Rattus norvegicus: one gene and its partner. The protein of the gene in region 1 purifies or fractionates together with the protein of each later gene. This does not show direct contact. Links are inferred from orthologs where the notes say so. Each region holds a gene or a part of one and is shown on either strand. Other genes may lie near its edges. The genes, in order: Ociad1 and Slc6a8.

The links.
Region 2: the proteins of Ociad1 (region 1) and Slc6a8 purify together in Homo sapiens (co-immunoprecipitation; 3 studies listed by BioGRID and IntAct, with this or other methods). This does not show direct contact. The link is inferred for Rattus norvegicus from reciprocal best matches to the Homo sapiens genes OCIAD1 and SLC6A8.

The regions. Positions count from the first base shown.
Region 1 is NC_086032.1:35,266,249-35,270,759, reverse strand, and holds the start of Ociad1 (OCIA domain-containing protein 1), read left to right. Parts: upstream 1-1,485; 5' UTR 1,486-1,641; intron 1,642-2,972; 5' UTR 2,973-2,977; coding exon 2,978-3,035; intron 3,036-3,440; coding exon 3,441-3,521; intron 3,522-4,511. UniProt on the Homo sapiens protein: Maintains stem cell potency. Increases STAT3 phosphorylation and controls ERK phosphorylation. May act as a scaffold, increasing STAT3 recruitment onto endosomes. Involved in integrin-mediated cancer cell adhesion and colony formation in ovarian cancer.
Region 2 is NC_086039.1:156,542,397-156,546,109, forward strand, and holds the end of Slc6a8 (sodium- and chloride-dependent creatine transporter 1), read left to right. Parts: intron 1-51; coding exon 52-164; intron 165-288; coding exon 289-426; intron 427-504; coding exon 505-607; intron 608-693; coding exon 694-794; intron 795-874; coding exon 875-1,045; intron 1,046-1,363; coding exon 1,364-1,504; 3' UTR 1,505-2,925; downstream 2,926-3,713. UniProt on the Homo sapiens protein: Creatine:sodium symporter which mediates the uptake of creatine. Plays an important role in supplying creatine to the brain via the blood-brain barrier.

The DNA of each region.
Region 1 (4,511 bases):
GATGCTAGAAAAGTATGGTTCTTTTCTTTCACGGACCTTTTATTTCTGTGAGGGGGTGGGGAAAGATAGAGACAGGACACACAAATAATTGTTTTAGGTCACAGAAAATGCTATGAAAAGAAAAAGCAAGACAACACACAAGGTGACTAGAGTGTCACTTTAATTGGGCAGGGAGGAAAGCATCTTGGATGTGGTAACATCAACATACCTTGAGGGGAAAAAAGAAACTTCGAAGGTCCTAGACTCAGAATAACTCACCACAGGAAAACGAACATTTATACCGATTGTCTTAGAACATGTGAGAGTACAAATACTTGTAAAGCTGTTCAATATGACCTCAGTGAGAGAAAGAAACGGTGACAACAAAATACCACAATAGCCAGAGCTACCATTCGGTGCTAGAAGTTCATGAACACCGAGGAACAGGACTATCTGGTGCAGTTCAGGTTTCACAAAGGAAGTGGTACAAGCACAGGGTTTGCAAACAGTGCAATCTACAACTCTGTGCCTGGTCCTGGTCTGGACAGTACAACGGACAGTTGAATGCAAACAAAACAGGGTGTTCCTCATTAGTGTGGGGTTCAAGAAGCATAGAGGCCTAGCCATGACTCTGAATTCATGCTTTACATGACTTTCTCTATTACATATGTGTACAGACAAGTTTGTGGACGCTGTAGAGCCAGTGGGGAAAAAAGTATGAAATAAGGAATGGTGAGAAATCTGACGACTATAGGAGTTCAGAACTAGGGTGGGCTATCGCTGTTCAGAGGGTATCAACGATAAACTTTCAGTAATTGGTTCAGCATACGCACTCAATAAACGTGCCTAGGATCAGTGTAAGGAGTGGCAGCCTGATCTCTGATATGAAAAGCTGGTCTCCTAGCGTTAAAATATAGTTTGCTGTTAATACAGTCTGAAAGAGAGCCTAAACTCCTTTTCAGACTTGTTTTAATCCAAAACTTTCATAGTTTTCACATTATTTCTGTTATTCAGATGAGTAAATTCTGAGTCTCCGCGTTGGAGTGTATCCTGACTCCGGTTTTAGAATCAATCAGACACTAGACTGGAGGTTCTGACAGTTAACTACGCGTTCACGCTTAAAATTCACTACCTAGCCTAGAGGCTTAAAGCATACGATAATTTATGTAGAGCTTAAAATTAGGCAAGTCCAAGGAAAGTCATGGGATAAGGAGGGGACTCGAGGATGGAGGGGGTTCCAAAATGTTTTTGAACAGTCAGTCATAGGAGTATGTCACAAGAGCATCGAACCTAAGGGTGAGCGGAGGGGCAGGCCATAACTCGCGCAGCCGCAGTGCAGCTCTGGAGCGCCGTGGCTGGGAGGAGGGGCGTGGGGCGTGAAAGGAGGCGGAACTAATTGGACGGGGCGTGGCCGACACACGAGTATTGAGAGACTGCCCAGCGGCAGTGCCCCAGAGCTGTCTAACATCATTTCCTGTCGATGGTACTGCTTCCGGGTCTCGGTCTGCTGGCGCTTGTGTCTAGGTGACATCTTGGCGAGCCCTTTGAAGCTGCCCTCTTTCCCCTCCCCGTTTCCCGCGTTGTCCTCCGTGCCTGTCTTTGGGGTCCTCTCCTGGCCTGTACCCCGGGTCTTGCTCCCCGCGTTGCCGCCTCCTTCGTGAGGTAGGTGTGATGGCGCAGCCAGTTTCAGCTTTCTGCCAGTCTCCCACACTCGCCCGCAGCCGCCATTTTCCTGCCTGGAGGTGTCCGGTCGCACTGCGGGCCTTGGCTCGGCTGCACGGCCGGTGACTCGCACCCGGGACCTGCATGGAGGGGTGGGGAAAGCCGCGGTGGCCGAGGTGGGGTGGCAGGTGCTGGGCAGGAGTGCTGGGGTCTACGGCCCCAGCTTCTCTTGAGCCTTGTCCTTTGTAATTACTAGCTTTGAGCTGTAGTGTTCAGACAGGTCGCACTGCCCTCCAGCCTCCTTGGGGACGATGAGGTTTAATTTTTTTCCAGTAGGGTTTTGCAGTTTAAGAAGCTTCCTCTGAGTGCTTTATCTACCCAGAGTTCAGTTTACCTTTTACGAAACCTTTTTCTCTAAGGGATCTAGGTATGCAGTAGGTGATGATTTTAGTCACTAAACGAATTACAGAAAGATGCTTTGCTGTCGGCAGCGTGTAATTCATGCGGCAATGTGTTTTAACGAAGAAATCCTCCTTATCTGAAATGCTGACGTCTAAGTTCAGAGGAAGATGGATGAATATCAATACATGATCTTGGATTGCTCTGGGGTTTTAAATTTTTATTTATTTAAGTTATTTGAAGATTATTTGGCCTGGTAGGGAAAGTTTGGAAGACTTTGCCGTTAGAGTAGCTACCTGCAGAGAATGTGACGTCATTATTTTTGACTGCTGAGTTATGAGAGACAATGTACTTTTGTTTTCATTGGAAACCTAGAAGTGACTTGAGGGTTTTTTCCCCAATCATTTGGACATAGTTGTGGTTTTTTGTTTTGTTTTGTTTTTTAATCAAGGTACAAAATAATGTGAAATAACCTAGCCTTGGAAGGGAAATTTTGCCTGTTGTTTTTATATACCCGCTTTTCTATTAAAGGGGCGAATGTGAATAATTAGTTCAAATAATATGTTTATGACCCTTTTTCATTCGGTTATTTTCTTATGTAGTTGAAATGTAAAGGTCAGGGCCTGAAGAAAGAATTCAGCAGTTAGGAGCACTGGCTCTTCCCGAGTACCTGGCTTCTGTTCCCAGTACCCACATGTCCTATCACAGTGTCACAACCATCTGCAACTCCAGGTCATGGGGATCCCGTGCCATTCGATCTCCTCAGGCACCAGGCATATCTGTGGCATGCAAGCAGAACACCGTGCATGTAAAATAAGATTAATTTAAGAGTGTTTAATGTTAAGTAAATATTTATTAATTTACAGATAGACCGGTTATGTATATTTATACTGATACTTTGTAATATTTGGTTATAAATGTTTCTGATACAGGAACTATGAATGGGAGGGCAGATTTTCGGGAGCCGAATGCACAAGTGTCAAGACCAATTCCTGGTGACTATCATATTAAGTATTTACAGTTGGTAACCCTTTCTGTGTAGAGAAATTTTAATTGCTTGAGTAATTGAGTAACGGTAGAAATTGGGCTGGTTTTATAGGTGTGATATCCTTATAGTCATACACAGAGCTTAAATGTTCTCTTGTTACAGTCTCCAAATTTCTTATCATCTGAACAAGGGTGGGGGTTCATTTTACATATTTTCATTTAGCACCGTGTCCAGCCTGTCTGACTAGCAGGTAGTAAGAATAAATTTTGTAGGAAATCAAAATTGATTTTTAAAAAGTGACAAGCCAGTTGTCTCATGGTTTTATTATTATTTTTTTAATGTTTTTGTTACTAGTAGACAAAGCTAACTTTTCAGGCTTTTAAGAAAATGACTTCCAATTTTTTTCTAAAAGACATAGGGGGCGGCTACATTCCAACAGAAGAAGAGTGGAGGCTCTTTGCAGAGTGCCATGAAGAGTGCTTCTGGTTCAGATGTGAGTTTTCCTGCTAAGGACTTTAAAGAATATGCATGGGTGTTTTTGTGGTATCTGTGTATGTGCACAGGCATAGAGAAAAACGGGCGGTGAGAAATGGTTTCTCTCTGTAGCCCTGGCTGTCCTGAAACTCGATCTGTAGACTAGGCTGGCCTCAACTTACAGAGACCCTCCTGCCTCTGCCTCCCGAGTGCTGGGATTAAAGGCTTGCCCCACCACCTGGCTCCGTCTTAATTTTTGAGACAGGTTTTTTCACTGAACCTGGAGTTCCACCATTTGGCTAAATTGGCCAGCCAGTGAGCCCTCAGGATCTGCCTGTCTCTGCCTCTCAGTACTGGGGTGCCCAGCCCTGACTCCTTAAATAAATATTAGGGATCAGAACTCAGATCCTGGGGTTTGCAATTCATGCACTTTACCACTGAACCATCTCTCAGCCCTGGTTCATCATTTTTCTAATTAGCATAATTCCATCCAAAACTTTCACTTACAAACTTGACTTAAGTTCACGTTTGAAGTTATAACTTATTATAGACTACATCGGGACACTTTTGGGATAGTGTGGTTATTACTAATAGAGATTCAGGAAATTGAATAGCAATTTTGTCAGTAGCAAAATAGCATGAAAATAATTTAGTAGAGTTGTTAAGTACCCTCACTTTAGAGATGAAAGGACTAAGGTTTAGAGGTATTAAATGTGTCTACTTGTGTTACACAGTCATTGTGCTTTGAAGTCAGGTGTCTGAACCAGACTTGGTTGGGTTTTAACTCTTACATTTAATGACTGTCATAACTAGTGCTGCCTTTGTTGCCTTTCATTGTAGTGAGGAGTTACTCACTACAATTTCGCTTTCTGACTACCAACCCTAAGATCAGAATTTTGTTGTTGCTGTTGTCTTGTCTATTGTAGACCTGGCTGGCCTGGAACTTGGTATGTAGACACATCAGGCCTTAGACATTATGAGGCCCTGGGTTTGGTCTCTAATACCAGGA
Region 2 (3,713 bases), on another chromosome or scaffold:
GTACTCAGGATGGTGCTGAGGGCCAGTCTCACCCTGCATCTTTGCACTCAGGGCCTGGTCTAGCCTTCATTGCCTACCCACGGGCTGTCACACTGATGCCTGTGGCCCCACTCTGGGCTGCCTTGTTCTTCTTCATGCTGCTGCTGCTCGGTCTGGACAGCCAGGTTTGCAGGAGCTCTATCTAGGGCAGGAATGGGGTAGGGGCTGGTGGTGGTCAGGGGATTTGGCACATTGGGCAAGTGGTGCACGGGGACATGGGGACCTGGGCCTGAACTGCCCTGGCCACAGTTTGTAGGTGTGGAGGGCTTCATCACTGGGCTCCTGGATCTCCTCCCGGCCTCCTACTACTTCCGTTTTCAAAGGGAGATCTCCGTGGCCCTCTGTTGTGCCCTCTGCTTTGTCATCGATCTCTCCATGGTGACTGATGTAAGTGGGGGTAAGGTGGGTTACTGTCAGTTTCCACCCATGGACCATCATCTTCCCTGACCTGACTCTGTTCCTCAGGGCGGGATGTACGTCTTCCAGCTGTTTGACTACTACTCAGCTAGTGGCACTACCCTGCTTTGGCAAGCCTTTTGGGAGTGTGTGGTGGTGGCTTGGGTTTATGGTAGGTCAAAATGAAGGGCTGGGTTAGAAATTGTGGGTGGAATGAGGATGGATGGTCTCCAACTCTAGCCTTCCTGTCTGTTCCAGGAGCTGACCGCTTCATGGACGATATTGCCTGTATGATTGGGTACCGACCTTGCCCTTGGATGAAATGGTGCTGGTCCTTCTTCACCCCACTGGTCTGCATGGTAAGGCTAGGGAAGTGGGCAAGTGGTGTGGGGTAGTGGGGTAGTGGGGCCCCAGTGACTGCAGGCATCTGTGTCCATAGGGCATCTTCATCTTCAATGTTGTGTACTACAAGCCACTGGTCTACAACAATACCTACGTGTACCCATGGTGGGGTGAAGCTATGGGCTGGGCCTTTGCACTCTCTTCTATGCTCTGTGTGCCCCTCCACCTCCTGGGCTGTCTCCTCAGGGCAAAAGGAACCATGGCAGAGGTAAGGTTCCTTCCTCTTTCCTCAAAGGAACAGTCCATCACTCGGAAGCATGGCCAGCTCACATTGGTGGGGGCAATAGGTGGAAGGAAAGTTGACCCATTATGGCCTCATGTGGTAGCAAGGAAGCAAGACCCACATCTCACTTTCCTGGCTCCACACAAGGACTACTTAACCCTGCTTCCCATTACAGGGAGCAGGGCCTGAAAAGGGTGCCCATAGGGAAGCACACCTGTCTCAGTGGCAGATAGTAGGAGCTAGAGAGGTGGAAGCAGTTGCATGTGACCCATGGGAAGTTCAGCATGCCCTCCTCTCCCACAGCGATGGCAGCACCTGACCCAGCCTATCTGGGGCCTCCATCACTTGGAATACAGAGCTCAGGATGCAGATGTCAGGGGCCTGACCACCCTGACTCCCGTGTCCGAGAGCAGCAAGGTCGTCGTGGTGGAGAGTGTCATGTGACAGGCACCCCCAGCTCACATCACCAGCTCATCCTTTGGTAGCCATAGCAGCCCCAGCTTTAGCCCCCACCCATCCCTCGGGGGCTTGCCTTTCCTTGACAGTTTGGGGATCTGCCTGGGGAAAGGGAGGAAGCACCATGAGTGCTAACAAAAACAACTTTTTCCATTTTTAATAAAACGCCAAAAACATCACAACCCACCAAAAATAGATGCCTCTCCTCCCCACCCCACAACTACGCTGGTATTTTCGTTGCTTCCAGTCCCCACCTCCTTTCCTTCTTCCCAGTGCCCAGGACCCATCTCCTAGCCTTGCCAAGCCCATCTGCCTGCCTCCCAAGCTCTGCTCTGTAACACACCTTTGCCCTAGAACCAACAGTGGCAGCTTGGGGAACAGGAGAGGAGGGAAAATAACAGTAGGACAGGAGGGGAGGCAAGAGAGGGACAGTGGAACCAAGGTGAATATTTCAGCTCAATTAGAACTCTTCCCGCCCCTATTCTAGAAGCTAGAGAGCCAGTCAGCAATGGAACCTTGTGTTCCTGCGCCAATTGCCACCAATATTAATTGTGTGAGCTTGGGTCTGAGTGCACGTCTGTCTCTGTGTGATGTGTGTGTGTGTGTGTGTGTGTGTGTGTGTGTGTGTGTGTGTGTGTGTGTGTGTGTGTAGATCTCTTATCTCTTAGTGAAGGTGAATACCAGAAGTAAACAGAGCCTCTGGGCAAAGGAGGCTTATATTTTGCACATTTTATAAGAAAAAAAAACTTGAGAGTGAGACTTCTGCTTGTATATTTCTAAAAAGCCCCCACCATCCCCCATTTCCACTCCTTTCCTTGACATCCCCACCTTCTCTGACCCTAGCCAAGGAGTGTGAATTTATAGACTTAATTTTCATAGGCAAAACAAAAGCTTCAGGCTGTTGAATATGTGAGTCTGTTTGTGTGGATGTTCTGTATGGTCTCCAGCCAGAGACTGGAGTAGGAAGGTGGGAGCCTCAATGGTGTCCCCACACTGTTCCTTTGCCTCTAAGTCTGTGGGGTAGAAGGCTGTAACATTATCCCAGGGAATCTGGGTCTGCTCACCTGACATGCTCAGACTTGCCCACACCCAGCTCCCTGGGCTGGGCATGATTGCAGGGATTTCCCATGGACATAGCCCAGGGAAGGGATCCTGGGTATGGCTTCCACTTCCAAGCTAAAGGCTGATGTGCTTTCGACATCTCAAGTCTTCCGTGTAGCAGCTTAAACCCACATCTGTGTCCCATCAAGCCTGAAACAGCCAAGTAGCCATTAGAAAGGCTTTCTTCACACAGAGCTGGACTAAGCCAGGGAGGTGGGGCTGGGTAAGGGTGCAAGCCTTTGGGGACATTCTTACTGTGCTAAAAAAGCCACTGCAAACATAGCAATAAAAACACTTCATTTTCCAAAGTTGGCTCCTGTTTCTGCTTCTCTGGAAGAGGAATGAGGTGGGGATGCAGGTGTGGGAACCAGATGAAATGCTCAAAGCCAAGTCCCAATTGTCCCCATCACAGGCCCTGGCAGCACCAGGCTAGCATTCACTAAAGCCCATTCTGAGCGATTCTGCACCTAGTAGCATGTCAGAAACTGAAGCAGGGAAGGAAGCCTCAAGCCCCTAGACTGAAGAGCATGGGGGTGACAGTAAGTTGAATAGGAACAAATGCAGCAGAGAGAGTCTGTAGCTATAAGTTATTCCAAGAATTTTTCTAAACCAAGCATGGTGGCTCATGCCTATAAGCCCCAAACTTGAGATATTGAGGCAGGTGAATCAAGAGAGTATGTTTCTGAGCAAGTAGCCTTCCAAGATCTAAAAGTAAAGGGTACACTAGGATCACAGATAGTAAGAGGTAAGCTGGGGCAATGATCCAGGGACTAGGCATCAGCACCTGGACCTGTCTGGTGGCAATGGAGTTGGGTGGGGGAGGTTCTTTGGATTGGGGTCTTCTTTCCTGGCAGGAACAGAAGGGACTGTGGATGACTACATGATATAGAATTGAGGAGTCAAGATAAACAACAGAGATTTGGCTTGAGCCACAGGAAGAAGGGTGCTGCCAGGTCCTGTGATGGGGACAATTGGGAGTTGGCTTTGGGCATGTCATCTGGGAAATGTCATCCAAGTAGAGATCTTTGGTTGGCAAATGGACACAGGACTTTGCAGTTCTAGAAAGTTTGGCCTGGAGCTAAAACTTCTGAAGTAC